Regions from separate parts of the Mus musculus genome. Here all the other regions are reported to be linked to region 5. Evidence: microRNA targets listed by miRTarBase, many of them from high-throughput screens and not tested one by one. Region 5 holds a microRNA gene; each other region holds the end of a gene's coding sequence.
What was found. The annotated mature microRNA mmu-miR-467f reads AUAUACACACACACACCUACA and lies in region 5 at 1,879-1,899, shown strand. An mRNA with a match to its seed (bases 2 to 7 or 8) in the 3' UTR can be bound and repressed. Matches are read on the target gene's strand: a 7mer-m8 pairs with bases 2 to 8, a 7mer-A1 pairs with bases 2 to 7 and ends in A, and an 8mer does both.

Region 1 (4,595 bases), not on the chromosome of region 5:
CATCTTACCTCTAAGACCCAGAGAACAGGGTACTTGGTTCTTGCTTATGTCACATTTCCTTAACTTCCGCCGTATGCTGGGCACAAAGCAGGCACTTCAGCGCATACTGAGAATATCAAATTTTAAGGCAGAGCGTGGTGGCTCACTCCTGTAATTCTAGCATTAGTAAACTTAGACAGGAGGATGACTATGAGCTAGGGCTAGTTAAGTTCCTGGAAAGTCAGGGCTAGAGTGAGACCCTATCTGAAAAGTTCCTAAAATCGGGGCCAGAGCACTTGTTTTTGCAGAGGACCTGGGTTCAATCCCCAGCACCCACATGATAGCTCTCTGTAACTTCAGTTCCAGATGATGCCCTCTGCTGGCCCTCATGAGTACTGCATGCACATGTTACACAGTCACATGCAGGCAAAAACACCCACACTAATAATAAAAAAATAAAAAAAAAAATAAAAAATTTAAAAAGCTCTAAAACCAATCCTGATTTGGGGAAACTGGGAGGGGTAAAAAAACAAACAAACAAACAAACTTGTCTCTGCTTCCTGGGGCCTTTTTTTTTTTTTCCTTTTCCAATGTATTTCTGGAATATCACAAAGTACTTAATAGAAATGGATTTTGAGGGAAATTCCTCAGGACCAAGTGCTGACTCAGCAGCAGCCTCCTGCTGGCCCAGGACCCCGTTCTTAACTGCTGTGTGACACCATTAGGTCTTGGTAGGGAGAAGGCAAAGGTGCTTGAGGTTTGTGACCTGAAAGTCTGAGAAGGAAGGAAAGGGAACAAGGAGCGGCAGGAGATTGTGTAGAACACTTGAGACTGATTTTATTGGGGTTTCTCACAGTGGTTGGAGCCACTCTGTCTTCCGGACAATCACAGGATATCGTCACCCAGACCGCTCAGGGCAGTCTGAGCAACTGAATCTTATTGCTTAAAATACACATATTCACAATAACTGGCAGACGGTGGTGGCCTCACACAGGAATGTGTTAGCGGCTGCAAATCTGACCGTAGCACCAAGCCCTCTGCCTAACCCTTCCTACCTAGAAACCCAACTCAGTCAAGTCTCCCTGGCCTCTAACTCACTTTTCCTGTCCTCTCTCTGAGCATCAGGGTGGCCTACAGCAGCAGGGCCAGACTGTGGCTCGGGCATCATGGTGGGTGCTTCAGTAAAGCTAGTCGGCACTCAGGCCAGCCCCTCACTCTGCCAGGGGAACAAAACTTGAGAGGGTCCCATCTCACCAACAGTTAACTAACGAGGGGTTCATTTTGGGAAACTGAACTCTCCTCTGAGACACTGCAGTGAGGTGTCTGGGATTTTAACAAGCTATCAGCTGGGAAGTGCAGGAGGGCTGCAGCTCGGGCCCCTCTGACCACACACCAGCCCTCTCTCTCTCTCTCTGGATCTTGGGGGATGAGCTGTGCATGTGGCCAGAGACTCCTGTTGATCCAGGACAGGCCGATGTCTGGGCCACAACCACTTCATGCTTGTAACTCAAGACCCAATCAAGCTCCTGTCTGAAGCCAGCGGGAGGGGGGCTGGGTCCGGATGTTTCCACGCACAGGGAACAGAATGGAGGCCTCTGAGTGCCCATGGAGCAGTGTGCAAATCGCAGTGGTGAGCTGAGGAAGCAGCCTCTCTGAAGGGCAGTGTCGCTGGCAAACACAGGCCATGCCGTCGGGGAGATCGCTGCATACACCCGAGTACGGTCAGACTATTGTTCGGTAAACAGTAAATGTGTAAAATAAATTACTTTGAGAGGGCCATACGTGCTCCAGGCATGTGGTTAATGTGTGAGCAGAATGGCCATTCAAAGTATCTTCACAGAAAACACAGGGCTCGGGGCCACATACCACACGTACCACACATACCACACATACCACACACACACACACACACACACACACACACACACACACACACACACACACACACGCCATCCAACATCACTGTGTAGACTTCACTTTTGTTCGACAAAGATTTTGGTTTGTGGTATCCAAATGCAGACACGCGTTCACCTTACAGCCTCGGGTCTGTGTGTTTACATGTGGACTTGGGTTTTCTGCCTTTTTATTCCTTTCTCACCATAATGGTGGCGCCAAGTCTAGTCTATGCATCATCGTTCAAGAGCAGGGTAGGAACCAAACTCTTTGCATGAGCAGGGCTGGGTGGGGAATGTTCCTCTCAGCGGCGTCTCTGCTCCTCTTTCCTGACAAAGCATGACCGGGTCTCCGGAGCCAGACGACAGTAACCAGGCCCCGAGGTCTGCTGGAGGCAGTGGTCACCTCCTACCCAGGTGACTCTTTTACACAGGCTGTACAGGAAAGTGAGTCATGTTTCTCCACAAGGCTGGGGCAGAGCAGCCACGAGAACCACAGGTAACCAAGGCGCTCCTTCTAAGTGGTCAGTTTAAAACAAACAAGGACACAAAACAACAGACTTAAGTCAAACGCAACAGGAAATACTGTGTGAGAACCAGGCTATGAGGCCACCTTGCCCTGAACACACAACTTCCTCAGTCCATCTGCTTACAGAGGACAGGGAGACAGAGACCGCAGGCTGTGTTCAGGAGGGGCGAGGACCACTGACCACCTGTGGGCACGGACAAAGGGCGGAACTGAAGGAAGCTCTTAGCTCTCCCAGCCTTCAGACTTGGGTCTCCACTCAACAGAAGGCCCAAGGCTCCCACCACCGGGCCTGTTCAGGCTCTCTCCTCCTGGCCCAATGGTAGTCAGACTCTTGGGAACTCAGCCTGGGGAGAAGCAGCAGAATTCCCTTGTAACAAAGAGTCCCTGCCTGCCCACTGGTCTGGCTGTTTCCTGCCAGCCTTTGTTGCTTGTTTTTAAAGGAAAACCCAGAGAACGTAGTATCATCTACACCTGAACCAGGCTGGGAAGGGTCCCCTCTACAACGCACAGATGTGTACTTTCTGCCTGGGCCTTGTCAGCTCAGCAAGTCCCTCACCACCCTGACTAGCTGTCACCCTCCCACAGGGTTAGACCAGTGCTCTGCAGCCACTGGCAGCCACAGTGACAATCCACTGGCCTCTGAGGGTTTTCTTCTTCTCTCTGAGAAGTGGTGTCTCCTAGACTGAGACACGGTTCTCTCGTGAATCCACTCTGTCACCGCTGAGCACCACCTTAGGGCACAGTCCAGCCCCAGTCCTCGGGGGGGCTTTGCAAACTTGTGTTTCTCAGCCAGGCAGGTAGGTGGGACACAGCTCTGAAAGGGGGGTGCGGGAGTCACAGAAGCAGCTTCTCCGTCTTCTAGAACACTGTGCTTTTGTGGGGAGAGGAGGCATCCACACCCTGAATTTGTACCTGGAGATGTGGGCAAGGTGGGATAGGAGGGGGAAAAAATATAAGAGGACAAAGTGGCCGGGCCACATGTCCATGTTACTTAATGCTTCTCTCGTGGGTGTCCCTGACCCTGGTTGTCGTTGAGCTCCTAGGTGCAGGCAGGGCGTGTCCTAGCTCGGGGAGCCACTGTGCTGGGAATTTGGAGAGTCCTGCTCATTGATGGTGTTTAGCAGCAGACACGCAGGCGGCCGTGGCAGGTGGGGGTGCCCATGCTCCCGAGCCTGACCCTCCGAGGACAGGCAGAGACCTTCCTCTTCATCAACAGGAGGCCGTACATGACAGCTGTCACAGAAGTCCAGGGGCCCGTCCAGAGCATCATCTATGAGCGTGTTAAACTCTTTGAGGTCATCGTCATGGTGGCCCCGGTTGCACACACACACCTCAATGCCTGAGTCACCTGTGAAGCGGCGATGCCTGCCGGGGGTCTTGTCTTCACTGTCAGGGGACACGCCGCCACGCTCAGAACGCGAATCTTTCAGTAGCTCCTCCTTGCACTCGGAATCCTGGTCCAGGAAGGCGCCCGGGTCCAGCTCCCCGTGGCCGGCCATGGGGCTACCAGACTCCGTCCCAGAGGCTTTGGTGGCTTCCCGGTCAGTGGGCACTTCAGGGGACTGAGGATCTGCGACACTTGGAGGTCTTGTGCTGCTTCGGCTCGGTCCGGACAAAGGACTGCTCTGCGCTCCCTGGGAGCCCTGGGGCGGCGGGTCAGCGCCTGGGGGGCTGCCACCTGGAGGGCCACCCTGAGGAGGAGGTGGCAGCAGCTGCTGCTGCTGTTGGAGCTGGAAGGCACTGTACGGTGGGGGAGGAGTTGGAGGTCGGTTCACCACTTCCTCATAAGGAGGTAGCAAAGAGTTTGGCAAAAACCCTAAAACAGGCAGGTGGGAGAAGAAATTACCACATGGGTCAGCACTCTAACAAAGCTCATGAAAGGTGACACTGTCCCCTCCCACCCCAGAGCCATGGTGGCTATGCTTCTTAGCTGTGGGCAGGTAAGGGGACTGCAACAGCTTAGAGCAGCGGTTCTCAACCTTCCTTATGCTGTGAGCCCTCAACACAGTTCCTCATGCTGTGGTGAGCTTTGATCACCAGTCAAGGAGGAGTGAGGAGCCTGTGACACCAAGGTTCACTGAAAACATGCCAGGTGAGACCCCTCCTGACTGCATGCGCTCAGTACCTTGGGGCGGATCACCTCGCTTAGAGCTGTGCAGCAGCTGCTAACGTTTATTGAGCATTTACTACAAAGC
Region 2 (4,595 bases), not on the chromosome of region 5:
CACTGAGCCAATACTAACATCTCTGCAGTTTTCTCGATTAAGCAAGAATTGAACCCCAGGCAAGCCTATTTAATTTTGTGGGCCATATACAACAGAAACAGGGTTTCTGTAGGGTTTTGCCCACAATGAATATGATTTGGGCTAAAATGTTTTATTTTTGTGGTTAGTGGCATTGTATTTATTTTTGAAACACGATTCTACAGGTGTATTATTAACATGTGTAGTTTAGGCTCTGTGCTAAAAGCCACCCACAGTTATCCAAGTTACTTTGCCAGTTTTTGATTTTTGTTTTTAAAGGTTTGAGTACACATTGTTGTCCTCAGACACACCAGAAGAGGGCATCAGATCCCATTACAGATGGTTGTTAGCCACCATGTGGTTGCCTGTAATTGAACTCAGGACCTCTGGAAGAGCAGTCAGCGCTCTTAACCACTGAACTATCTTTCCAGCCCACTTTGCCATTTTTTTGTTGGCAGGATTTTACAATAAGAATAAAAATACCTTTTCTCCTGAAAAGTGATTTTATAGCTATTGCTTCAATAAAGGCATTGACTTTAAAAAAAAAAAAAGAAAATCTGAGCAGACAGTTGCTGAGACATTGGAGGCTGGGGACGGGGGCTGGGGGGAGTATTTGTGCAAAAAACATTAACTATTGTTTCTTCCTCAGAATTCCATCATCCCTGGTCCCCCTTTCCTCTTTGGAGCCTGTTCGGTACTGCTGGCTCTGCTCGTTGCCTTGTTTATTCCGGAACACACTAATTTAAGTTTAAGGTCCAGCAGTTGGAGGAAGCACTGTGGCAGTCACAGCCATCCTCACAGTACACAAGCGCCAGGAGAGGCCAAAGAACCTTTACTCCAGGACACGAATGTGTGACGGAAATCAGGAAGACTTCTCTCTCTCGCAGCACCCAGGTCTTAGTTTTCACCTGTAGCTCTGGATGTACATTCCATTTCCATCTGCAGTGTACTTTAAGACTGTCTTAAGAAATACTTGCATGAACTCCGTGGGAACTAAAGAAAGAACCGGACAGTTTTCCAAAGATGTTACACTTTCTTTCAAAAAGAAACCTTTTGTTTATATTAGCACCACTCTCTTGCCACTAAACTGTTTTATTACACATCTTTAATTAAAGCTCTATCTGTAACTCCGTCTCTGCCATTTCCTTAGGTGTTGAGCCTTTACCTGCTCGTGCTGACTCAGCGACACTAGGCAGGATGGTTATGGACCTGTTTGCTTTAACCTTGTAAAACCTGAGTCATTGTAAAATCTTGGGTCAAATAATTCAAAGCCTTAATGCAGATGCACTAGAAAAGAAATGGTAAAGAATTGTTTGCATTTAAAAGAACTTGTGAAAATTGTAGAAAACCAGAATCATGTTTCAAGCTTGTTTGCCATAATTTTATTTAAAGCATTATTCACGGCTGTTCTGAAGAATGAAAAGATCAGCCACTTAGAATTCAAATTGGGGTGGTCAGAGCCTAGCCATCTGGCTCAATCTGTTTAAATCTGTTCTGCTTCTTATACCACTATTCTTTTGATATTTGCATAATCATAAGGACCTCAACACTTGAATACATAATCTAAAAATTATATAGTAAAGCTGGTAGCCTTGAAAATGTCAATGTGATATCTATATGTAGATAAATATATATAGTGGCCTTTCAGGACTGTCACAGTAACACTTTATTTACAGAGCTAATGTTTGTCCTAAATTTTCAGGACCCTAGAAGAGAGCTTTATACAATTACTGATGTGAATTTCTCTAAAGTGTATATTTTTGTGTCCAGTTATATTATTTAAAAAAGTGTTACTTTGTAAAAATGTACATAAAGTATTGTATAGTTTACACTGTTTTCATCTTGTGTGTGGTTACTGCCTAATGCTTTTTAAACTTGGAGCATTCACTATGATTAAATAAGGTCTCAAATGTAAATATTCTGTTAATAAAATTAAATATTTTAATGATTTTTTTCTTTTTAAAAAGGTCTTGATCTGTGAGTCCCTCCCTGTAAGGCCGGTTTAGGCTTTGTTACAGTAACAAATCCTCTTACCTTAACTTACCTTCTGCAATCCATTTGCTGCCCTCACCTCACCTCACCAAAAACAAAACAAAAAGCCTGAAGATAAAAATAACGAAGTGTGTAGGTCAACCGGAAATGCTTGATTTCCTAAGCACAGTTAGTCTTTTATTTCCTAAACATGCTTCTTGCATATAAAACGCTCAAGCCTCAGTGCTTTATTGACAAAGGTCACAGCTTTCAGAAATAGCAAAAAGCAACATTCTGATGGTTAACACATGTACAGTTATACAACACAAAACAATTTCAGACAAAAGCAGAAGAGGTAGAGCAGAGAGTTGGCGCTATCTGTGTGTGTGGACACTTAGCACAGAGACAGGTCACCAACACCCTGCGTGGAAATGAGCTGTCCTATCGTGGAAACAGGTTTATAAATAGTAAGGGGAGGGTATCTCTTCTAAAAAGCTATATATGTCTTGTATCCCTTTCCAAAGGCTGCCATAGCTCTTAGGTTTATTCTATAGTATTTACAACAGTCCTGTGCTGCATAGAGAGACTTCTTTCCAGAATAAGTGCTTTCAAGTAGTTATAGCAATATTCTTCCCATCACTGAACTGTGATAACAGCCCTCGTTGAAGACAGCTAGCAATAGCCATCATCCTGAAAGTGAGGCTAAAGATTCTACGTCACTGTCTCAAAATGTCTGCAACAGTGTAAAGTACTTGAAAAAAAATGTGTATAAATGTTTTGCCTAGAAACCACATGCATGCCTGATGCACTCTGGGTGACAAAATTGTGAGCTGTCATGTGGGTGCTGGGATTAGAACCCACATCCTCTGAAAAGAGTAGCTAGTGCCGATCATCACTAAGCCATCTCTTCAGCCCCTTGAAACTTAAAATATCACATGATTGTTAACATTTTACAGATAAGATTTTTGGGGTCTTGGAATTTTAATTTCCTTTGGGTGGTTGTCAACAAGAAAACAAAATTAGACCTCTAAGATTATAGAGGGTTGTTTTTGGTTTTTTGTTTCATTTTGTTTTTTAAAACTACTTAATTTCAAAGGAATAGTTCTTGGAAGTTTTTAATAGTGAGGAAGTTGTAATTTCCAATAGTTAACTCTCCTCCTGCTTTATTAACACTGATGACAAATTTTAATATTATAAAAAGTCCCATGAACTTTTATGGTGTTATTACACTGATGATCTTTATGGAATGCCCAGATGACTAAAGCACTTCAGTCATGTAAATACACTGTCCCAATGATTTTTATATAAAAATTATTTCAGAGAAAATGATTTACTCACTATGAATACTTAATTTCACTCAAAATCCTTAAGAGTGTCACTAGGTACATCAACCAAACTCCAAATGCCCATACCCAGGACTTGACTAGCACAAGGTCGAATACACTGTTTTGGGTTTGATTTTTTTTTTGGGGGGGGGGAAGGGGGTTCGAGACAGGGTCTCTCTGTACAGCCCTGGCTGTCCTGGAACTCACTCTGTAGACCAGGCTGGCCTCCAACTCAGAAATCCGCCTGCCTCTGCCTCCCGAGTGCTGGGATTAAAGGCGTGCGCCACCACTGCCCGGCTGGTTTGATATTTTTATCTTACTGATTGGTTATTTTTATTTTCTTTTTTAAGGGAGAAAGAACATAAAATTGGGTGGGTAGGAAACTGGAGACCATCTGGGAGGAGAAATTATAAACCAAATATATTGTGTAACTCAGGCTTGGTGGGTACACAGCTTTAGTCCTAGGTCTTGGGACACAGAGGCAGGTGGATCTGGGTTTGAGGCCAGCCTGGTCTACATACATAGCCAGTTCCAGGACAGCTTGAACTACATAATAATAGACCCTGTCTCAAAAAAAAAAAAAAAAAAAAAACTTTGAAAGTTGTATGAGAACTGAATGTAAAGTCAATGTAAGGCTCAATGGTCACAGGTGGAAGCTCTCCCAGCTCTCAGGTGGCAGATTAAGATTTTTTTTTTTTTACAATAAAAATGATCGAATGAATCACAAGTCTTCAGTTTATATTCCCTGCAGGTGTATCTTGATAAAGTGTCCCTAAGCAGACCAACTGGTAAGAATCTGATACAATCCAGTGACTTTTTGAAACATTCTGTTTTGTTCACAGAAAAAAAAATACCATTTACTCAGCATCCTTATCAATTTCCTAAATTTGTAAATGGCAGCAGTATTATAAAGGATCCAAATGACCTAACAGGAACCAGAAAAAAATTGATTTTGTTATCAATAGTCTGTTAAATCACTTGAATTCCTAAACTGTCGGTGAGCAGTAAAAGGTGTTGGATTAACTACTTGGTAACTGCCCAGGGAAGTAGGCTGAAGACGAGGAGGGGAGAACGGTGGGTTTGGAAGATAGCTGGAACGCTCCCAGCATGCCGTCTTTCTGATGGTCTGCAAGAGACAAAGCACGTAGCATGTCACTGCTTTAAGCACATGTAATGATCCACACTGTACCACTCCACTCACTCAGTCACAGGTCTCCTCACCTGAGTCACTCAACAGATTCTGGCTAAGTCCGCGTAAAGGAATGCTAGCTTCTCTTCTCT
Region 3 (4,595 bases), not on the chromosome of region 5:
CAACCCTTCTGTCCCACCCTCCACTGTAAACTCATGGTTGGGAACCACTGTCCTCAAAGAATATGTGAAACCTTACTTTGTGGTTAGATCAGCTTGAGCTAAATTCACACCACTAAATAGGACAGTTTTGAGGGGAGGGGGCTACTCATATTTAACAGTATCTCATATAGGCTAATGTTTAAGACCCTTTTGGGATTCAGTTACCACCTTAACATGAGTCCTTATTGTCCCGTTGCGTCCTGGTGGCTCTGGTGATGTTAACACTGTCTGTTCTTCATGTTTTCTGGAACTGTGACTGAATTAATATGTCAGTGTAGTACTATCTGAAGAATCCAAAGAGCTATTAAAATGCTTAAAAATAAAATGATCAATCCTCCTCTTTGTTCTCTTGACAGGATAATTGAAGCTATCTGCATAGGGTGGTTCACCGCGGAGTGCATCGTGCGGTTCATCGTCTCCAAAAACAAGTGTGAGTTTGTCAAGAGACCCCTGAACATCATTGACTTACTGGCAATCACGCCCTATTACATCTCTGTGCTAATGACAGTGTTTACAGGCGAGAACTCTCAACTCCAGAGGGCTGGGGTCACCTTGAGGGTCCTCCGAATGATGCGGATCTTCTGGGTGATCAAGCTTGCCCGGCACTTCATTGGTCTGCAGACACTGGGCTTGACTCTCAAGCGATGCTACCGAGAGATGGCTATGTTACTTGTCTTCATCTGTGTTGCCATGGCAATCTTTAGTGCACTCTCTCAGCTCCTTGAACATGGGCTGGACCTGGAAACATCCAACAAGGATTTCGCCAGCATCCCCGCTGCCTGCTGGTGGGTGATTATCTCTATGACTACAGTTGGCTATGGAGATATGTATCCTATCACGGTGCCTGGAAGAATTCTTGGAGGAGTTTGTGTTGTCAGTGGGATTGTTCTGTTGGCATTACCCATCACTTTCATCTACCATAGCTTTGTGCAGTGCTACCACGAGCTCAAGTTTAGATCGGCTAGATATAGTAGGAGCCTCTCAGCTGAGTTCCTGAATTAACGTGTTGCAAACCAGTCCTTGTGCACACTTCATCTGGTCGAGTTGACACTAGTTCTTCTTCGCGTGTTTCTCCCTGGGTGAGCACTGCAATGGTGTTGTCCTCCTGTTGGAAGGGTGACATGATTCTTCCCAACTCAAGGGTTAAAGCGGTTTACTTACGGAGTAGGCAGGACCGGGACCGGGACACACAGGACAGTAGCACCAGAGGAGATGCTAGGACCTGGTTTTATTCCCTCTCGTCTCCCTCCACCTTGCCTCGCACAGTTACGATGTTGTAGGCTGTTCTTAAGCACATTATTTGAACACTTTAAAGCAGAAAGACACTATTTTCCAAATGCTTTTCCATCTTAACGAATTCAGAAGAAGCTTGGAACTTAACAGTGTTATTTTTGAGACTAACATTTTCGTTTCTAAATGTTTTATAATTTCTCATATCAATGTCAGAAGTATCCTGGAAACATATGCCACATGTGGGAACTGTTTAACAAATACTTTAAAAAGTTGGCCCAAATTTAAACTGTATTGCGGAACTAGAGGCAAGCAAAAATATTATTTGAAAAGCTTTGCACCCTTCTCTAGCCTACCCTTGGCTTAATTTTTACACCTGTCACTTCTCTTATCTTACAACTTTATGGACCCTGAAGTGTGTTTTCTCTTTCCAGTTAGGCCCCCACTTTACTGAAATAACTTCCAAAGAGTACATGATATCACGGAGAGACCTTGTGTTGTTTAGCGCTCTGTTGGGTGATTTAGAGTCAGTTGCCGTGACTCAGAGTCCTAGCATTCAGATTGCCAGGAGCATTGCTAACATGAAATGACGAGAGAAGTGCTGTGATATTTCAGGGTTCGACCCGGAGTTCTCGGCTGAAGCTCTTCTTCTTTAGAACCACAAGGCTCGTAAAGAAGAGACGATACTTCTTGAGCTTTTTGTCGGCACAACAGCCATACTTACGCGCTGTCACTAGGCTGTTGTAAAAGGAGAAATGTTGTTGTCTTGGTCCGGTGTTGCTAAGCAGGGCAGATGTAGTTCTCTGGCCTGACTCCTCACCATTGTGAAGCACGGATACACTGGGTCTCTTTTTGTAAAGTTATCAGACACTGCTACTCCGTCCAGAGTGCTGGTGTGCAAAAGTGCTGGCTGTTCACTGCTACGTTTCTGCAGTATGAATGAAAATATTGCTTTTTCAATAAGTCATAATAACACTTGAACACCCCCCCACACACACACACACATCAGAGTTACTGATTCATGAACACTTTAGTATACGCACTGTGGTTATCAGGGTTGAAGGGAACGGGTTAGGGACTGGGATAACCTTTTCAAAGAAAGACTCGCCAGAAGTGTCCATTAAAGGAATCTTAGCCATCAGTCCAGCTTTTATCATTACGGGTAGAAAAACCAAGGCACGAGAGCGTGCGGTGACTGTGCAGTTGGCGCTGGAAACTTAGCCTCCTTTAAGCAGGCCCAGCAGTTTGCTCTGCACACGCCTCTAGCTTTGGCAGAAACTAGCATAGGCCACATTTCATTCTCGTTGCCATGATCAGGCAATAATAGCAAATTCATGTGATACTGCCCATTAAAAATAAAAACCTCACCATTTTTTTCCTAGTACCTTCACTGGTATAGTTTTACACACTAGATTGTTATTTATATATACTTTTTGTTTCATTTTAACTGAACATATGGCCTGGTGTTATTTATTTTTAAGCTTTGTGATTTATGCAAATCGTATGCAAATGATAGCTCATCTATATTATTAGTAAGGATATGGTAGCCTTTAATTTTTCTGGCACTGAGAGACTCTCCATGTGAATATGGATTCCATCTCCAAGCAACTTAGTACTCCACTGAGCTGGGACCCTCGAGGGCACACACAGGTCACCAGGTCCTCACAGTGTCCGTTACAGAGGGGCCTGAGGTAGACGAGGAGACAGACACGTGTGAACGTGCGCATGGAGAGCCACACGTGGGAAGCCACGCGAGCTCTGAGTTGCTTTGAGGTAGCAAGTGATGATGCTGGTCTGTTCATGGGGGCTGGCTTTCATTGAGAAGCATCTTGGGTGTTGGTAACAGCAGTGAGCGTCCTGTAAACAAGGGGATGAGACATGATGAACGGGTTCGTTTGTAAATGAGAAAATACAACAGCGTGTTTTGTCCTTTAGGATGCTGGAGCTTCCTAGGAGCAGACTTTTTTTTTTTTTTTCCAGCTTTCTCTGAATGTTACTAATTTCATTTCATTGTATATATTTGCTTATTTTGGTGTTGTGTTTGTTTGTTTGTTAAGGGTCTCTGCTGTGTAGATAAAGCTGACCGTAAACTTGTGACACTCCTCCTGCCTCGTGCCTCCCAAGTGCTAGAATTACAGATACAAGTTACAACACCCAGCTGCTCTAAAAAACAAAACCCTAGGACAGATGGCTCAGTGTTTAAGAGCACTTCCAGTTCTTGTAGAACACTGGAGTTAGTTCTCATCACCCACATGTTAGCTCACAACTGTTGAGAACTCCAGACCCTGGGGATCTGATGCCCTCTTCTGGTCTCTGTGAGCTTCTGCACGGCACTTTTACACAGATAGCACACACACACACACACACACACACACACACACACCCCACAGAAATGATACTTTTTAAATTGCTGAGGTGGAGCCTCCTTCTGAGATGCACTTTATCAGTCTTCACACTCTGGTCTTCATGGCAGAAATGCTCTCCCACCCCCACCCCAGGGAGCCAGCTATCCTCAGAACACCGAAGAGGGAAGGACGCCCGAATCTTTCTTTTGAGTGTACTTTGTTTGAGCGAATCTGATCCCTTCCTCTTACACATGACTTGATTCGTATTCTCTGAAACAAGAGAGTAGGAAGATAGGGAAACAAAGTTAGAGAGCATTTGTAAAACTGAGTGTATAACTTAATAAATTCTTTTTTTTTTTGTTGTTTGAGACAGGAGTTCTCAGTGTATCCCTGGCTGTCCTGGACCTGCTCTAGATACCAGACTGGCCTTGAACTCAGAGATCCACCTTTCTCTGCCTCCCAAATACTGGGATTAAAGGCATGTGCCACCATGCCCAATGCTCCCCAAACCCCCTTTATTGATTTATTTTTTTTATTACTGTTATTGAGTTGCTGGTTTACACACGTCTGTTTATTCTTGGGGTTACATGTGATTGCACATTTGCAAATTCTTATTTTAAAATGTTAAAATCGATTCATTCATAGTAGCTGTCGGTATGTCAAAATATTCTTTTTTTAAAGTACATTTATTTATTTTATGTGTTTATAGTACACGTGTGCATATGCATACATGTGTGCGTGTGTGCATGCTTGTATGTGTGTCGAGGTCAGAGGGCAACCCACTGCATACACCAGGTGGTTTCTGGGATTGAACTCAGTCCATATGGCTTGGAAACCATCACCTTTTACCTGCAGAGCCATCTCATCAGCCCTTCTAAATCTTTCACCTTTTACCTGCAGAGCCATCTCATCAGCCCTTCTAAATCTTTGGGCACATGTCTTGCTTACATCTCTGTGATCCTGCAGCGTGGAAATAGGATA
Region 4 (4,595 bases), not on the chromosome of region 5:
ACATACATATATTCATGCACAGACACATACACATACACACACTCACATTCACACACAAATGCAATCTCTCTCTCTCACACACACACACACACACACACACACACACGCACACACACACTTACTTTTCTTTCAAGGCAAAATGTTTCAAAATGTTATTGTTTCAAGGATATTGGTTCATTATATTTCCCTGGCACCGCTACCTTTGACCTTGCAAAGCCTGTGTGTGAGGTCATCTGCCAGCGTCTCACTGGCTCTAGCTTCTGGCTGACTCAGGAGTGAAGCTGAAGGAAAAGTGGGGTGGTAAATGCAACAGTAACCATGAAGAAAGGGAGTTGGAGTGGCCTATATATTCATTTGTACAAATTTACTCCAAGGCAAGCTTTCTTCCAGATTTATGGTTTGCTTTAGAGCAGATCCAGTCATCTGTCTTATCTAGGAATGAAGGTGCTGGTGGCTTAATTTTCACATTCAGCTCAATTATTTGTTATCTCCAAGAGTGCCTCTCAGTATTTGTCTCCCTACATCCATGAAGCCTGTATTGTAATCCATTTTTTTTTATTTAGAATTGAAGAAACAGTATAATAAAGACTTCATTTGAATATAATTAGCAAGATGTTTTTAACCCCACCCATTAGTAAGTGACTCCATTGCAAGATGCTGCTTAGAAATACAGCAAAAACATTTCTTGTCAACAAAAATCAAGATTTCTGGGCAGTCTACATTCATTTGGTATAATGTCTTCCTTTTTTAAAAAAAAATCACCATTGTCTGGAGCCACGCAGACTTACTTGGGCAGCATCTATTTGTGAGACTGTTAGGTTTAACAAGTCTTTATTTAGTGACTCGTTTTTCCATCTTCTATTATATTAATCACAAAGTTGAACAGACTGCGTTCTGTAGTCATCTTTTCTGGCTGAATGGTGCATTTGGGCATGTGGGCGCGCATGCATGCACAAGGCACAGGCTGAGGAGATCTCAGGCTACAGAAGAGTTAGTGAGCGAGCATCAGCCTGCCCTGTGTCCTCGGGCCACTTTCCATCAATGCTTCTCATCTCCAGATCTTTCAAGTGATGCCAAACTGTGGAAAAACTTTCAGAAATGCATGACTGTCTCTTCCATCCTGTTGTGAATAAAACAGCTGAATCAAACAACGCAGGCTCTTTTGGAAGTCTCCCTTTCTTCATGAGCTGCTGGCATCCTTACAGTTCGTTATTAGCCAAGGGAGATCACAGGACTGGGCGCTGAAGGATCTTAGATATGGTTTTAGTTTGGGAATATGTTCCTGCAGATGGCTGCGTTTTGGTGACTGAAGAGTCCCATGTAGCGGCAATGCGTGTATTAAACATCCCGCAGGAGAGCTGAGTTAATCTTCTAAGCATAGTGCCCAAGAGGAAAAACCTCCTATTTACCGATAGTCATAGTAGGCCTGACTCCAACTGACCCTTCAGTCGCAATGACTGTCATATTGCCAGCTGGTTTTGGTACATGTTCATGACTCAATTAAAATGGAAGAGGAAATAACATCCATGGGACTAGACTTTGGTTCCTATGGTAATGATGTAATAATACATATGTCACATAAAATCTCCTATTTGGTTATGAAAAAGGTACTTTTTGTTTTTTAACTGATTGGGATTAAAACAATAAACTGCCACATCAGAAGCATGTTGACAAACTGGAGGGAAACAAACCTTTTCTACAGAGAAGGAGTTGTTACACACACGTGCATGGTGTGCAAATGGAAGGCAGCTTCTGCCTCCTACAGCTAGCATTGCTTCCGCAGGGCTGGGATTTATAGGAAACAAACTCAAACCTCATTATAATTGTTAAAGACCAAAGACCACATACAGGGAGAATAAATAGCAAGTTCAAAAGTCAAGGTTTTGCTTTTCCTACTACGAAAGATAATCACTCTTTAGCTTAAAAAGGCTCCCTGCTGCCTGCTTATAAATCCAGACATAGGAGAGGTCATCTGAGCCTGAGTCCCTGCAACGGCTGACTGTAGAAATGTGTGACATCAAAACTTACACTCCTTTCCTGATAGGTACTGACAGAAGTAAAAGCTGGTAATACTTAATTAAACTAAAATATGTATTTCTGGCAAGTGTAAACAGAATCTTAATGAACAGATTTTCTAAATTCTCTCCTTAGCTCATACGTTAGCTAACAGTAGATCTTTGCAGTAGTGTAAGAACTATTTAAAATTATAACATGCATATATTCAAAAAACCTGTTCTCAATCCCAAAGCAAAGGAAAAAAATACAATAGGAAGATTGTCTACATACATCTCATTCATTAATCTTCTATCAATAACTACCCCACCTCAGAATATATTTTCATAATTACCAAAATAATGAAATGATCTGTAAAATTTTTAAAATAACTGCACACCATTAATTACATTCATGGCTTCAATGTGAATAATGCCAAGATTAGCCCCAAATGTCACTAAAATGCATCTTGACCAGTAACTGTCCACACAGTAAAAGCGAACACAGTGTTAATGCAAAACCAACTAAAATATTTATTACTTAACAGAATGCATTTACAGAATAATGAATAATTAACTTTTGTGAGCTGGCCAGGGGACATCAGACTGTTGCCTCCATATACAAATTTACAAAAGGCTTTATTCAGTCTACTTCCTAAGTTACCTATAAGACAGCAAGTTGTCCACCACTGGGCACAGTACGTTAGGCATAGCCACAGTGGAAGGCATGCTCTCTTCATGACCCAGGAAGGTTCCTCTGGCAGGAAAGAATTTACCAAGCGAGAACCTGACCTAGCATGTGTGTATGACAGTACAAGAGAGTGGAACTTTAGCTGTGTACTCCAGGATTTTGAGGGGTTCTAGTCTCCAGGCTTCTAGTTAGAGCAACATCACTTCTGTTTTGGTCTTCTCAGAAGCGTACAAGTAGCCTACCTATCACCGAACAAAGCCTTTCTGCGAGCATTTCCGAGATGTGTCAGAACTTAAAAGCTCAAAACTATACAACCAGTTTTCTGACTTGAGATTCCACAAAGTCTTTTTAGAGAAATAGACGTTTGAATTGGAAAACAAAACAAAAAACAAAAAGGTCCTGGTTTTCATAATCTTCTGTTTTAGGGAAAACAAGCCAGCTCACCTTGGGGTAAGTAACAGTGCGCTTATGCTATGCAGAATGCAAACAAGACACAAACGGAACACTCGGGTACACACACTGACAGGTGACGGTTAAAACCTTTCCGAAAGACCCCCTATTGGAGCCCCCCATTTCTCCATTCTGCTGAACCGGCCTGAGTAGACCTGGGCATAGGAAGAGAGTTAGGAGGTGGCAGCGGACATATTGGGGGTCCAGCCCATCTGGTAGGCTCTCTCCAAGGTCCTCTTGCAGTCCTGCAGAACGGTGCTGAAGGTGATGTGCGGGTACTGCTGCACCAGCTGCTCCACTGTCAATTCATTGACCTGTGAGCAGAGAAGAGTCATCATCAGACACAGGGGCCACCAACACCATGCAGCCTGTGCTCACAGGGGTGCTGTGGGGCATGCGACGTGCCAGGGAACAACAGCTCTCCCTTTCCTTTCCACTTAGCAACATGACCAAGGATTTGCTGAGCGCGTGCATTTTTCCTCTGGTCTGACTTCTCTGATACTCTAGAATTGCACTGCCCGTATGGATTTTTAATTAAACATGATGTCATGAAATCAAATGTACCTGCTAAACATAAATGACTAAATGACTGGGATTTACCAAGATCGCAGTAATGCCCATTAAGAACACAGAAAATGGGAGGAAGAACGCAGTAGGAGCATCTCCTGTATCTCTGACTTCTTCACCCATGGAAAAGCCTTTTTAGGCTGGACACTGTACATTGGGGTGGGGGTGGGGGTGGAGATACACAGGATTCTAGATAGAAGTGCAAAGGAAAATGTTTATTTTTCTTCCCTTTAAATGTTAAGACATTGCAAACCTCAGGCCCTGTGTGAGAAGGGCTGAAATTCGAGGAATCAATAATTAAAGCATACATGGCTGGCAGGTCAGGGATGGCCCCAGCAGACCTTAGCCATCAAAGAGTCCACCTTGATTCCCGATTAGACAAGGCAATCAGACAGGCCTAATTAAAACTAACACCTTTACAATTGCTGTGCTGTGAAGGGATTAATTTGTCAATTATTTTTAAGCTGATTGCCGTTCATATCACAGAGATAGACAGCTTCCTTCATCCTTTAGATAAATAAATGATTAACCTAAGAACCACAACTTATAGGTAGCTTTACTTAAAATCTTTATTGAACACTTGGGCATTTTTGAATACATCAATATTTTATTTGTACTGTGTAAGCTATACTGAGTTAAGGCTGAACGAAGGTATTTGTGGTAGACATTTTTAAGCATCCCTCTTAATGTTCATTATTGAAAACCAACAGCACCACCTTTAAAAAAAAAAAACCCTAAAAAAACAAAAGCAAGCCAATCAAGTCAGAAGGCCTGGCTGTTTGTGCTGAAAGCCTGCTGATAAGTCTAATGATCATCAAGTTTGGGTTTCTGCACTTTTCTAATTATGTGATTTGAAAGTTAGGTTGTCTTTCATTTTTGTTCAATAGTGAGAATTG
Region 5 (3,000 bases):
AGCTGCCAGGTGGTGGTTTTTTTAATCCCAACACGCAGAGGCAGGCAGATCTCTAACCAAGCCAGCATGGTCTACAGAGTGAGTTCCAGGACAGCCAGGGCTACAGAGAAACCCTATTCTGGAAGAAAAAAAAAAAAAAAAAAAAAAAAACACTAGATAGATTAGATAAGGGGGGTTTGGCTAGAATATAGTTCCGTGTGATGTGTGCCTAGCAAGTATAAAGCCCTGATTTCAATCCTCAACATCAAAAGCAGTAAGAAAGCCAGATGCTTCAAAAAAAAGGCTAACAATATTCAAGGACCAGCCCTAAGTACAGTAACTAGGATAGTGGCAGAGCTTAGGAGAAAATGTACCAATAATATTCTAGAGAATACAGAGTTCCCACCTCACAGACCTGGCCAGTCACCACTTACAAAACTATTCTTTCCTTATAATGAGAACATCTAACCCTGAATATTGCTTCAGATACGACCTGCTTTGGCTGTTTGGGGGGAGCCTGAGGCAGGAGGGTCTAAGAATTGGAGGTCAGCTTAGGCTACGTGCTAAGTTTCAGAGTAACCTGAGCTATCAAAGTATAAAAATCCTGTCTCTATATGGGGAGAAATGTTTTTAAAAATGAAAGAAGGGAGGAAGGGAAAGGGAAAGGAAGAAAGAAGGAAGAGATCGGAGGAGGGCTACCTGGCTGAGGATGTACTTCAGTGGAAGGCTAAGATGAGACCTCAAGTTCAAGGTTAGCCTTATCAACAAAGCAAGGCTATACAATAAGACCCCATCTTAACAGGTTGGTGGTGGCCTAAACCTTCCAAGGCCAGCCTAGCCTACAGAGTGAGTTCCAGGGCAACACAGGATATCCTGCCCCCCACCCCAAAAAAAAACAACAAAAGACAGAGGCAGGCGGGTTTCTGAGTTTGAGGCTAGCCTGGTCTACAGAATGAGTTACAGGACAGCCAGGGCTACACAGAAAAACCTTGTTTCAAAAAACAAACAAAAACAAAACAAAACACATTATGAAGCTGGGGTTGATGGTGTGCACCTGTAATCCCAGGTCTTAGGAAAGGCCACAGTAAACCAGGAGTCCAAGGTCATCCCGGGTTAAAAGCCCAAGCCACCTGAAACCACCTTAACAAAACACATCACATCCTGACAGAAAAGCCAAGTTTGATAGGATAATTCTAAAATAACTTAGACCTCAGATCTGATATTTACTGGCTCTAGAAAAATCACAGTAAAACAGTTTTGTGAGAGGAGAAAAGAATCTCCCCAAACGTAAAAGATCTAAAAAGTTAGTATCCCTTACTCACACCAAAGTTTGCTGAGTCATAAATATTAATCAGCAAGGTTTGAATAGGTAAGTATCTACATTACACTTAGGCAATGTCTTTAACTCAGTCATGGAGCAGAAAGTGCTGAAGTGGCCAGAATACAAAATCTACACTCAATATTTGGCTTTTATTAACTCTATACTATCAAAGAATCCTGTCCCTGCTTCCCTCAAATCTATCACTGCTCTGGCCCACAGAATAAAAGGATAAAAGAGAGACTTTCTGTTGGATACCCATATGTGTAACAGAATTCATGTCCCAGCCCAACCATGTCATACAGTTAATTGGAACTGAGCACTCATCTGTCCCAGCTGTGCATGGCTCCTGAGCTTCCTTAAACCAAATGCAAATATCTTATCTTGATCTCATACTCAATTTAAGAACCACTTTTCAAACTAAGAGTAGTTGTGGATGCTTTTAATCCCAGCACTCAACAAAGGCAGACCTATCCCACAGAGTTTGAGTTCAGGGCAGCCACGGCTACATAGAGAAATCCTGTACCCAGAAATCGAACGGGGGTGGGTGTGTGTGTAGGTGTGTGTGTGTGTATGTATGTATATACACACACACACCTACACACAGCTTTTTTGGAATTTTTAACATTTTGATGTTAGAAGGATACAGATGAAGACTAACATATCGAGGAAAAGAGAGCATAATAAAGAGTACTTTTTGGGTTTGTTTGGGTTGTTTTAGACTGGATTCCATTCCCCATGCTGGTTTTGAACTTCAACAATCCTACTTTAGCCTTCTAAGTACTAGGGTTAGAGTATGTACCACCATACCCAGCCTGAGGAGACTGTTTTAACAAAGGTAATACAAATGTGGGTGAAATAGATATTAAAACATTAATGTGTCCTCTCAGAAGCCAAAAGAATTAAAGACTTTTGCTACAGAAAACAGAAATGTTAGAGACACTGTTCTGGTCTGAAGAAAAAGTACCAAGAGTTAGGAAAGTGACAGAATCAGCTAGGAGCCTTCTTCAGCTATACACAGACTAGACAGGTAGACATCATCAAGGATACACAGGAATACAGAAATACCAAGCTAAAAAGACCGAGACTTAGTTGAGAAGCTGCATTAAAGCTAATAGGTATGTGCACCCATAGGCACTGGGTAAAGAACTTGATCAGAAAAGGGAAAAAAATGGCCTGGCCTTTATAATGGATAACTAGCATATCAGTTGAAGTGAGGGTAGGAACCATCTACAGGGGTAGGGCAAACCTAAGTCTTTTTTCAGCTACAAAAAAGATACAATTTCATAGTAGAGTCAGAGAAAGTTATTTCCAAGGGCATAAGAAAGTAGAAGTTCTACTAGGGTAGGGGGACAGACAACCTGAGGAAACCTGAAGAAAAAGGGGCTCTTCTCACCCATCTCATGCTATGGAAATTCCTCTTTCTCTCCAGGATGAAGAGTAAGAGAGGGACCAAACGTGTCCGGGACAATTCCACTCATAAAAGTCAAAAGATGTTCAGAACCCCACTGATCAGAAGAAGAAAATATCTGGGGCGTGGGATCCAGAATAGACTCAGGACAGATACAGAAGATGGGGTGGGTGGTGGATAGAAAGAAGGAAAAAACAAAAGTCTGGTCTGGCATGGTGGCTCAACCAGTAACGCCAGAGCTGTAATCCTAGGCTGAGGAAGAGTTCAAGTGCAGCCAGGGAGGGGATCTTGT
Region 6 (4,595 bases), not on the chromosome of region 5:
GGTGATGGGAAAGCCAGGAGAAGGTCGGCCGCGAGCCAGAAAAGCCGCTGCTGAGGCCTGGGGATTTCGCCTTTTCTGGAGAAGAAACAGGCTTGGCAACCAGGGCTGCTCTCCACCCCACTCTGTACCAAGGGCGGGGGAGGCTCTGACAGGCAGGAGCCCAGGCTCTCTAGCTGCCTCAGGTCCTGTGCAGACCTCTGTGTCCCTGCTGTCTGCTGAGGTGGCCTAAGGGGAAGCCTGGAGGTCTCCACCTGAAGTTCCCTGATGCAGGGTCAGTCCAGCCTTGGTAAGGGCCAAGCCAGGCAGGGGCGCCTCCTTACAAAGTAGTCAGAGGCACCTCTGCCTTGTTTTGGTCCCATGACCCATGTCTGCCTCTCCTGGGCTCTTCCCCAGATCTTCATTCTCTGGGTCCTTCAGTGTGAGGTGTTTTTCTGTTTTGTTTTGTTTTGTTTTTTTTTGTAGGCTTGGTGTTTTGTAACACGCTCTATCTCTAGTGGCCTCTGGCAAGGAGTATATGGTGTGATTTGCTGTTTAGTGACAGCGGACTCTATCCTGTCTCATCCCTGTGTCAGGGAGCGCTCTGGGTCCCAGGCCTAGGGACTTGTGTACACACTGCATCTCTGCCGTGGCTTGCTCATGGGCACTTTCATAGTTTGGGGGCAGGCTGAGTAAAGCCTGTAAGCTGCCCCCGTGGGAGGCAGCAGGGAGGAGCTCCAAATGTGCTTGCTGTAGGCTCCTCCTGTTCCCAAGAGCCAACGACAGCCTCTAATTTTCTGTGACAGCAGCAACCCACACACCGCCCCATGTTGCCCTATTGTTAGAGCTATTCTTGGGACTGGCTCTGACAGCCCTGACCCCCCCACCCCCCAGCCCTCCACTGCCTCCTACAAGGCAGGATGATGATGCCTACTGGCAGGGAGACCTGGGCATCTCAGTCTTGGGCCTCGCTACTGACCCGGACTTCTGCCCAAGGGTGGCCCAGCAGGTAGGGCAAAAATGTATAGCTTCCCGAGGCCCTTGCATTGCGACTTGGTCTGAGGGCTTACAGTCTGCAGTCAGTCTTGAGCCAGCCTCAGGTCCAGGGTGGGTTGTGGATGCCACTACACTACCCTCTGACCCCTGTCTTGCTCCTGCAGGTGGGCGTTTCTGCTCCTTCTCTCCGTGCATTGAGCAGGTGCAGCGGACATGCCAGGCGCTGGCAGCCCATGGCTTCACAGAGCTTAGCACCCTGGAGGTACTGCCACAGGTCTACAATGTGCGCACTGTCAGTCTGCCCTTGCCCGACCTGGGGGCCAACAACTTAGAGACCAACATGGGCTCTGATGCCAGCCCCTTCCGTAGTGGCACACCCATGAAGGAGACTGTGGGCCACACTGGCTACCTGACTTTTGCCACTAAAACCCCAGGCTAGCAGGCCTCCAAATGAACAGCACAGGCAAGCAGGCAGGGAGGCCAGAGGCTGCCTTATATGGTCAGCCACTGCCCTCGTGGCTTGTGTTTAGAAAGAGATGGGGGCGGGGTGGGGCAGGGGCCTCCTGGGTGGCTGAGGGGGGTGAGTAGGCTGGCCCTGCTCAGCTGGGAGGCATTCCTGTCTTCTGAGAGGGAAGTCTCCACTTCATCACTGCTCAGCGCAAGCTCTGTCCTGGCTCTTTGTTGTCAACATGAGTCTTTCCTCTCCATAGTCCTTCCTGGGTTTTGAGACTAAATGGTAAAAGTTGAGGGCGTCGGAAGCTTTGGGCACTGCCTATAGCCTGGGCTGACCTACGGGAGCGTGGGTTGTCCCATCCCTGGCGCAAGTCTCCAGGCCCTGGTGCTCCAGAGCTTAGCCAGAAGCTGTGGTTGAGCTAAATTAACCAGAAAGCCCAGCCCTGCCCTCCTCTCCCTATACTTCCCTAAGGCTGATGGAGGGACCAGGCTGGCCCAGGAACAAAGGAGGTGATGATAATCAATAATCATGTGCTGCACAGGCCACGTGTGTGTCAGCACGACCGTGTGTGTGTGTGTGTGTGTGTGTGTGTGTGTGTGTGTGTGTGTGTGTGTGTGTGTGTGTGTGTGTGTGTGGAGTTCCTGGTGTGCTGGTGTGCTGTCATCTGGGGTTAGGCATCATCCTGAGGGATAGAACACAGCAGGATTGGTCCCTGCTTCCGTGACCTTCCAGTCCTTGTTGGAGCTGGGGTCAAAGCGGATCATAGAGGAGCCTGTGCATGGGCTAAGAGCCTGGCTGTGGACTTGCCACATGTGTCACCTTGGCCTGGTGTCCATTCTCGGTATGTGGCTAGCTTCAAGGGAGTTTCAGTGCTCGGTGCTCAGATCATCTTGGTGTGAGGCTGCCAGTCAGCTGCTGCTGCTGCGTGGAAGCAGCCATCGCGAGACTCACCAGTGTCCTACTGTCATATGTCATACCCGAGGGCACCCAAAGGATAATAAATATTTTCCCCACTGTGCTTATTGTCTTGTTCCCACAAGGGCTGTCCTTCAGCAGTGGCCCAGGCCCGCTGCTCCACACGTGCCTTCCTGACTTCTGTCCTTTTCTCTCTGCCCTCAGTAGGTACTATGGCGTTTCTGACCTCTAGAACAACACCACAGGACTCTTCACAAAGGCATGTCCTGGGCTCCTTCCCACATTCCTATGAGAACCTAACTTGAGTTCCTGGGGTTGGCTTCCCAGGCTGTCTGTTCTCAGTGTAATGGCAACTGGAGGTCCTAGAGGTCGTGTGCCCTCAGAGCTGTTCCGGCTCCCTAGGACCACCAACCCTGTTCCAGGGCTTACCCTCCCTCCAGGACTTGCTCTCAGCTCTAACATGCCTAGCCTAAAGGACTGAGGTGAGGCCCCACGCATGTGCAACATAGAGTGGGTGCCTTCAGTACCAGGACCTGCAAAGGGTTGTAAGTGGATGATCTGGGCACCCTGCTACCTGGCCTGGCCTGAGCAATCCTGGCTCTCTGTCCTTGGGGAAGGGCTTCTGGCCAACAGGTAAAGGTCAAGGGACAGCATTACTGTGGGACAGAGCTTGCTCAGTTGTGGGACACACGGGCCGTATAGCCAGGAAGGCCCAGGTTATGTCTTCCATATGGGTCTCACTGGCTAGATGTCCTGCAGAAGGGACCCTGGCCAAGTCTGGAAAAAAAACAATCTACTTACTGTCCCTTGGGATAACCAAATTCTAGCTTTCATAGTCTCAGCCTTGGAGAGTCTATCCAACCCTAGTTTACCTCTAAGTCCAACCACAGCTGGAGGGCCACCTGGCCCTGGACTTACCTGCAAGCCTTTGTGTCTCTACAGCTCTGCTCAAATCATCCTCCTTATTCTTTTTTTTTTTTTTTTAATATTCATCTATTCCATGTGAGTACTCAATAGCTGTCTTCAGACACACCAGAAGAGGGCTTCAGATCTTATTACAGATGGTTGTGAGCCACCATATGGTTGCTGGGAATTGAACTCAGGACCTCTGGCAGAGCAGCCAGTGCTCTTAACCGCTGAGCCACCTCTCCAGCCCCATCCTCTTTATTCGTTCACTCCTTCATTAGTTAGTTTTTGAGGTGGGGTATTCTCTGTGTAGTCCTGACTGACCAGGAACTTGATCTATAAAACTGGCTAGCCTTAAAAAAAAAAAAAAGCTAGCCGAGCAGTGATGGCCCACGCCTTTAATCCCAGCACTAGGGAGGCAGAAGCAGGTGGATTTCTGAGTTCGAGGCCAGCCTGGTCTACAGAGTGAGTTCCAGGACAGCCAGGGCTACACAGAGAAACCCTGTTTCGAAAAACCAAAACTCTGGCTAGCCTTGAACTCAGATCTGCTGTCTGCCTGGCTAAACCATCTCCTCTTGACTGCTTTCCCAGACTGCTGCCCACTCTCAGACAGGAGCCTTCAGCTCAGCCATCCTCTGTACCCTGCACTGATCTGCTGAGGGTTAGTTACCTCAGCAGGAGCCCCCAGGGCAAAGGAGAGGCTAGGTCCCCAGGTCCTTCAGACTGAGCCTGGCTCCTAAAGTAGCCCTGAAGCCATGGTTGTTGAGTTCAGTTAACTGATCCTGGGTGCACCTGACTCAGAGGCTCGGGACTCATCATGGGGCAAGATCCTGGAAACTCCCCTTCCAGCCTGACTCCTGTCACTGGCCCTCAGTTTTCCCTTAGATATTTTCCTGGGTCACAACCTGCATTGTGACCAGGACAGCAGCACACCTCTCAGCCTCCTTGGCAAGAGTCTGCTCTGCAGCGCCAAGCCCCGGGAAGCCCTGAATGCACCTCTAGGTGCAGACCCTGGTTCACCTGCTGGAAGGCTCCTGGGCCAGGGTGATCAGCTTCCTCAGACAGACTTCCTCCGAGCCGCCTGTGAGCTGTGCCCAGGCCTCAAAATATGCTGCCCTGTGTTTGAGGGTTTTCCAGCAAGGGCATTGGGATCTAGTATTGTGTCTCTGGGTGAAGAATGGGTAGTACAAGGGTGGCTAGGGACACCTCTGCCTCTTACATTGTCTAGGTCTCTTGGAACTTGACCTTGAAGCTGTGTCCTCTTCTCCCCTCCTGACCATTGCACAGTTGCCTCTTTCTGCCTCAGCCTAGCCTTCATCCTGGGACAGGCAGGCTGCCAGGGACTCCA
Region 7 (4,595 bases), not on the chromosome of region 5:
TTCACCATCTACCTAGACATCTCTCCTGGTCTGTACCAGGAGGGTCACCATCTGCCTGAGTTTGTTACTTCTTTAAATGCCGCTTCCAGTCCTTCAGACCAGCCACTGGCAGCACTGCCTCTCAGACACATTCTTTAAGAATATTTCTGATTTATGCTGTGTGTTAACCAGTAGGCATTGTGTGTGAGACCAGCTTTTAATACTTTTCTGAAACTAAAGAGAAACATTAAATTCACCATGCCAACCAGCTTCCCTTCCCGTGTGTTCCTAGGGTTCCCATAGACCTAGCTGGAGACTAGAGTCTCCTATGGGCTGTGTGGCTTATGAATGCATGTTGGTTTCATTTCTATAGGATTTTAGCTAGGTTGATGGTGTTAGGAGAGATTCATCCTGGCACGTTGTTTTGTCCTCAGCTGGGAGACGACATTGTTCAAACACCAGTGCACCCTGTCACTCAGCAATACTCTACAGCTCACATGACTTAACGCACAGCTCTTCCACTTCTTCCGTGTGGGACCTGTTTGGGAAAATGGAGGGAAGCACTCTCAGATTCCCTCAGATGGATGTGGGTGCCAGGGGCTGTTCTGTTTATGTGAATCCAGCTTTGCCCTTAGGAATAATGTTCACCCGAGTCTGCTCTGTACCCCAGACCTGTGCTCTTCAAACCCCCATTCTTCCTGTTTGGCTGCTTTTTAGCCTCTGAGCAGAGCCAAGCCTACCATTGCTATTTGCTCTCCGGAGCCTGCAATGCTTTCTGAGCCCCGAGGATGGTTTTTTGAGCTGTTCCTGTGAAGGCAGTGAAAGCAAATCCCTCGATGCTGGAATAAACCGAGCCGCCCTGAATCAGAGGGCTTCGTTGCACCTTTTGTCTCTGGGTGTTGCTAAGAAAATGAATAGGGCAAATGCCTTGAGACTAGAAGCCAACTGAACTTGCCTGTTATTTTCTTTCTTTTGCAGGGGAGAGACCATACTACCCCAGGGACTGTGCCAGCAGGGCCCCTCCGAAAGGGGATCTAGAGACACACCTCCAGCGCCCGGCCCCGTGACAGTGTTGACTGTGGCCTCACGGGCGGCTGGAAGGCTCCAGCAGTGACCATGGCCGCTTTGGGGAAGAAGATCCAGGGCCTCCTGACCTGATACGTCAGACTCGGGGGCCATTGCGGTAGAGCAGACCCAGGGACAGCAAAGATGCTATGCCTAGAATTCCGTGTAGCTCTTTCACACACATGTATGTGCTCATCACCCATGGCCTGTGTCTCCTCGGGATAAGCAGTGGCATTGGCAGGCACAGTGGGAGCTCAAGGAGTCTGGATTACTCAAGACAGGCATGAGACACTGGAAAAAAGATACTGGTGTGTTTGGAAGAAGTGGACAGCACTGTGGGGAGGTCCAGTGCGTAGGACAGAGATGATGCTGTCAGGATGTGGGGAGCGGAGGGGGCTGCACTACCGCCTCTCCCCGCCGCCTCAGTGGGGACTTAAAGTAGAAGGTGAGACAGAGGGGTGTTCAGGTGGTGTTCGAGTGCTGTGGAGAGGAGCTTGGTGAGGCAGGGCAATGAGATAGCTCCTCACGGTTGGAGTCTGGCCTTGACCCTCTGAGCTGCTTATGCCCCGCCATGCTGCGTCCTCACCGTCCGGGCTGCGTCTGGCTCAGGAAACACTGCAGAGGTGGGAACACATATAAATCTGCTTTGGGAAAGAAACATTAGTTGAACACTAAGAGGAGCAGGTGTCTTTTTTATTCTCAGGACCTTTTTTGTAACAGGGCTACATTCTGCAAACTGCTCACGGAAGGCGACTCCATGTCTTAACAGAGTACCGCTGAGTCCTCCCAATTTGGGCCTGTTTTGGTGATGTCAGAGGAACCCTTGAGCAGATTGGGGGCCCTAGACCCTTAGGGTGCTAGTGCTCTGGAGCCTTCTCTCTCCTCCTCCCACCCCCTTTCCCCTGCACCACCCCAGCAAATAGATGTCTTTCCCCGTTGGGCCTGGTGAGCACCACCGGATGAGTGACTTTGTTCACAGATTAATGGGGGTCGCCAGGCCTGAGGGTGAAGACGGCTTTATATACCTCTTCCTTAGTCACGCAAGTTCACGTTTCTGCGGTGGGGTGAAGGCCCGAGCAGAGGCTGCGAACCCACGCGACGTGCGCAGTCGGAACTGTATTCCGCAGGTAGCAGCGATTCCTTTCCCCGTTGCTGTGACACTGTGTGTGATGGCGATACTTCTGCAAGTTCCAGATGTTTGCACATATGATTTTATGCATTATCACGAATTACCGCTGCCTTGAATGAAAACGTTCTGTGAAATTTTTTGCAAAAGCTTTACTAGTTTTTTTTTATTGTGAAATTTTGTAAAGGCAGGAAATGGATTAAGACGAGCATGCTAAATATATTTTTCAAAAAAAAAAGCAATAATTTTACATGTACAGAAATTATCCTAACCTTTAATACTGGTGAGAGCGACAGTTTACTTAACCCGGTAATGGATCAGCGCGGTTTTTGTAGGAAATGGGCTTCTGATACAAAGACTTGTTTAAACACACATGTATACACGAACCCTGGCGCGTGGTTCTCTGTTCTAATGATCTGTTGGATTGTTATTATTATTATTATATTATTATTATTATTATTGTTGTTGTTATTGTTAGTTAATGTTTGATTCCAGGTTCTATTTGTTACTGTTTTAATTACTTGACCGTTCAGGTGACTGCTGCACTTGCAAGCAATGCAATGTTAACTGGCTAGCAGATATATATATATATATACATATATATATACACACATATATACATATATATATATATATGTGTGTGTGTGTGTGTGTATATAATTTTTTTTACTTACTTTTCCTGATACTCCTACAGCAGGTTTGTATGAGAGCGGCTTGCCGTGTCGGAGCGCTTGGGAATAGCCATCATTCTGAGGCGTTACTTGGAGCAGGAGCAGGTCGTAGAGATACATTCCTCTCTCCGCCTGAGGCAGCGTAGTACCTTTCTGTTGACGGCGTTTGTTCTTTTTGCTAGGTTCCCCATCATTTCTGCGCTCTCTGGCTTTTTGTTCCCTTGGCTGAGAGTGAAGGTGAGAGTTAGGAATGTCAGAGCCTGTGATTCGGCCCATCTATTTCTGTGTTTTAGTTATTAAACAGTTCTGTACACAAAGGGACACGAAGGTGTCGTCTGTGTTTTTCCTGTGTCTGAGGCTGCACTTGGCATTGAGAACTGGAAGGTCTGTCTGTCCCATGAGTCTCCTTCCCAGGGTCTGGCGGGGAAAGACGGGTGCCTGAGGTCCGTCTGCCTGCCTGGAGAGCAGCCAGTCTCAGGATGACCTGCCCCTCCAAGCACAGAGAGGCACAATTTTCCTGTAGCCACAAGGCCATGAGGTCCCCAGCGCTCACTCCTGGGACCAGCTGTGTGCTGGCCTGCTGCATGGTCTCTCTGTCCCGCTGGCCATCAGTATTGGACTGGTTTGTTAATTTGTCTATGTCAGCTCAACAATAGTATTTAATATGATTTGTGTTTCCTTATTTATTTAGCCAATCTGTTTTGCTTTGCCCCTCCTCCTGTGGTGATTTCCACATCTCTGACTGTTACGGACCTCCTACCTACCTCTCTGCATCTTCTGTCTCCTTGTTTCCTGACGGGGTTTTTACAGTGTTGCGTCTAATGTAACTTAGACAATAAAGGGTTTGGTTGTCTACACTGCAGCCGCTCACTCTGTGTGTCCCCTGCCCTCTCCAGCTGCCCTCTTCTGACTCCTGCCTCGCTCTCTGGCTCACACCAGCCCAGCCCCCACCATCCCCTGCTTCACTGTGTGACGTGTCTTCTCTTACGCTTTTCCTCCTTTCAAGTACACATTACACAGAGTTTCTCAAATACTTCAGGTGATTCACTCATTCTTAATTCCCAGAATGAAGGTTTAACTTCACGAACAATAAATACATTGTGGACTCTTCTCCTCTGGGGAGTTGCTCACTGCTCCTTTCCACACTTCTGCTGGTTCTTGAAGTCTATGCAGTCTTAGGTGGAGACAGTTTAGCCTCTCCCGCGTAGTACAATTTCCAAGTCAAGTGGACTTTGCCTTTTTGGTTCTAAAAAGTATTAGATATTTTAAAAAGTTTCTCCAATATTTGCTTATTTATTTTTTTAAGTCCAGGAAGACACTGGTTTCTGGAAGTAAGGTGTTCCAGGCGGCACAAGGCAACTCTTTCAACGTAAAAGAGCTCTGCTGTCCCAGCGGGCTGTAGGGATGCCCCTTCCCCTTGGCTGCTGTGTGCACACCACGGCTTCTCTGCAGCTGGGACTGGAGTCGCTCTCCATTTATGCTCCACAGGTGACCAGTTCCACCGTGGGCATCACAGGGCTGGCAGCAGTGACCTTTTCACCTCCTGGGAACCAGTCGAGTTGACACCTGTCTGGGTGGATGAGGGTGTCTTCCAGGTCAAACAGTGCCTGCAGTCCCCCAGGAAGGACCTGTAAGATGAGACACCTGCCTGTCAGCACCCGAAGAACGAGTTTTGTTGTTTTAATGCTTATAAATCAGGCAACTTCAAATTGCAACTTTTGTTCACTGAAAAAAAAAAAAACCAAGCATGCCCC

Region 1: miRTarBase lists Wbp1l as a target of mmu-miR-467f. The part of its 3' UTR that is shown has no 7-base or 8-base seed match.
Region 2: the mRNA of Mfsd14a is a reported target of mmu-miR-467f. Seed matches in the 3' UTR shown: 7mer-m8 at 1,769-1,775.
Region 3: the mRNA of Kcng3 is a reported target of mmu-miR-467f. The part of its 3' UTR that is shown has no 7-base or 8-base seed match.
Region 4: miRTarBase lists Fbxl17 as a target of mmu-miR-467f. The part of its 3' UTR that is shown has no 7-base or 8-base seed match.
Region 6: miRTarBase lists Trmt61a as a target of mmu-miR-467f. The part of its 3' UTR that is shown has no 7-base or 8-base seed match.
Region 7: miRTarBase lists Zfp516 as a target of mmu-miR-467f. Seed matches in the 3' UTR shown: 7mer-m8 at 2,821-2,827.

What each region holds. Positions count from the first base shown.
Region 1 is chr19:46,653,586-46,658,180 of GRCm38, reverse strand. Wbp1l (WW domain binding protein 1 like) reads right to left here. Exons shown (of 5, transcript NM_001177812.1): 5 at 792-4,216. The coding sequence ends at 3,462. Among named protein-coding and RNA genes, the nearest start is that of Gm36602, 10 kb to the left of the region's middle.
Region 2 is chr3:116,628,553-116,633,147 of GRCm38, reverse strand. Mfsd14a (major facilitator superfamily domain containing 14A) reads left to right here. Exons shown (of 12, transcript NM_008246.2): 12 at 668-1,984. The coding sequence ends at 874. It overlaps Sass6 (SAS-6 centriolar assembly protein), which reads right to left. Exons shown (of 17, transcript NM_028349.3): 16 at 4,536-4,595; 17 at 2,162-4,440. The coding sequence ends at 4,334. Among named protein-coding and RNA genes, the nearest start is that of Trmt13, 16 kb to the right of the region's middle.
Region 3 is chr17:83,584,180-83,588,774 of GRCm38, reverse strand. It overlaps Kcng3 (potassium voltage-gated channel, subfamily G, member 3), which reads left to right. Exons shown (of 2, transcript NM_153512.1): 2 at 396-2,818. The coding sequence ends at 1,041. Among named protein-coding and RNA genes, the nearest start is that of Gm34801, 19 kb to the right of the region's middle.
Region 4 is chr17:63,056,966-63,061,560 of GRCm38, forward strand. It overlaps Fbxl17 (F-box and leucine-rich repeat protein 17), which reads right to left. Exons shown (of 9, transcript NM_015794.1): 9 at 1-3,446. The coding sequence ends at 3,306. Among named protein-coding and RNA genes, the nearest start is that of Gm34324, 19 kb to the left of the region's middle.
Region 5 is chr11:69,634,318-69,637,317 of GRCm38, reverse strand. Mir467f (microRNA 467f) reads left to right here and starts at 1,799; the gene lies at 1,799-1,918. All of the region lies in intron 1 of Fxr2 (fragile X mental retardation, autosomal homolog 2), which reads right to left.
Region 6 is chr12:111,681,459-111,686,053 of GRCm38, forward strand. It overlaps Trmt61a (tRNA methyltransferase 61A), which reads left to right. Exons shown (of 4, transcript NM_001099793.1): 4 at 1,137-2,444. The coding sequence ends at 1,411. Among named protein-coding and RNA genes, the nearest start is that of Trmt61a, 5.7 kb to the left of the region's middle.
Region 7 is chr18:83,000,316-83,004,910 of GRCm38, forward strand. Zfp516 (zinc finger protein 516) reads left to right here. Exons shown (of 6, transcript NM_183033.2): 6 at 958-4,595. The coding sequence ends at 1,017. Among named protein-coding and RNA genes, the nearest start is that of Gm41795, 8.6 kb to the right of the region's middle.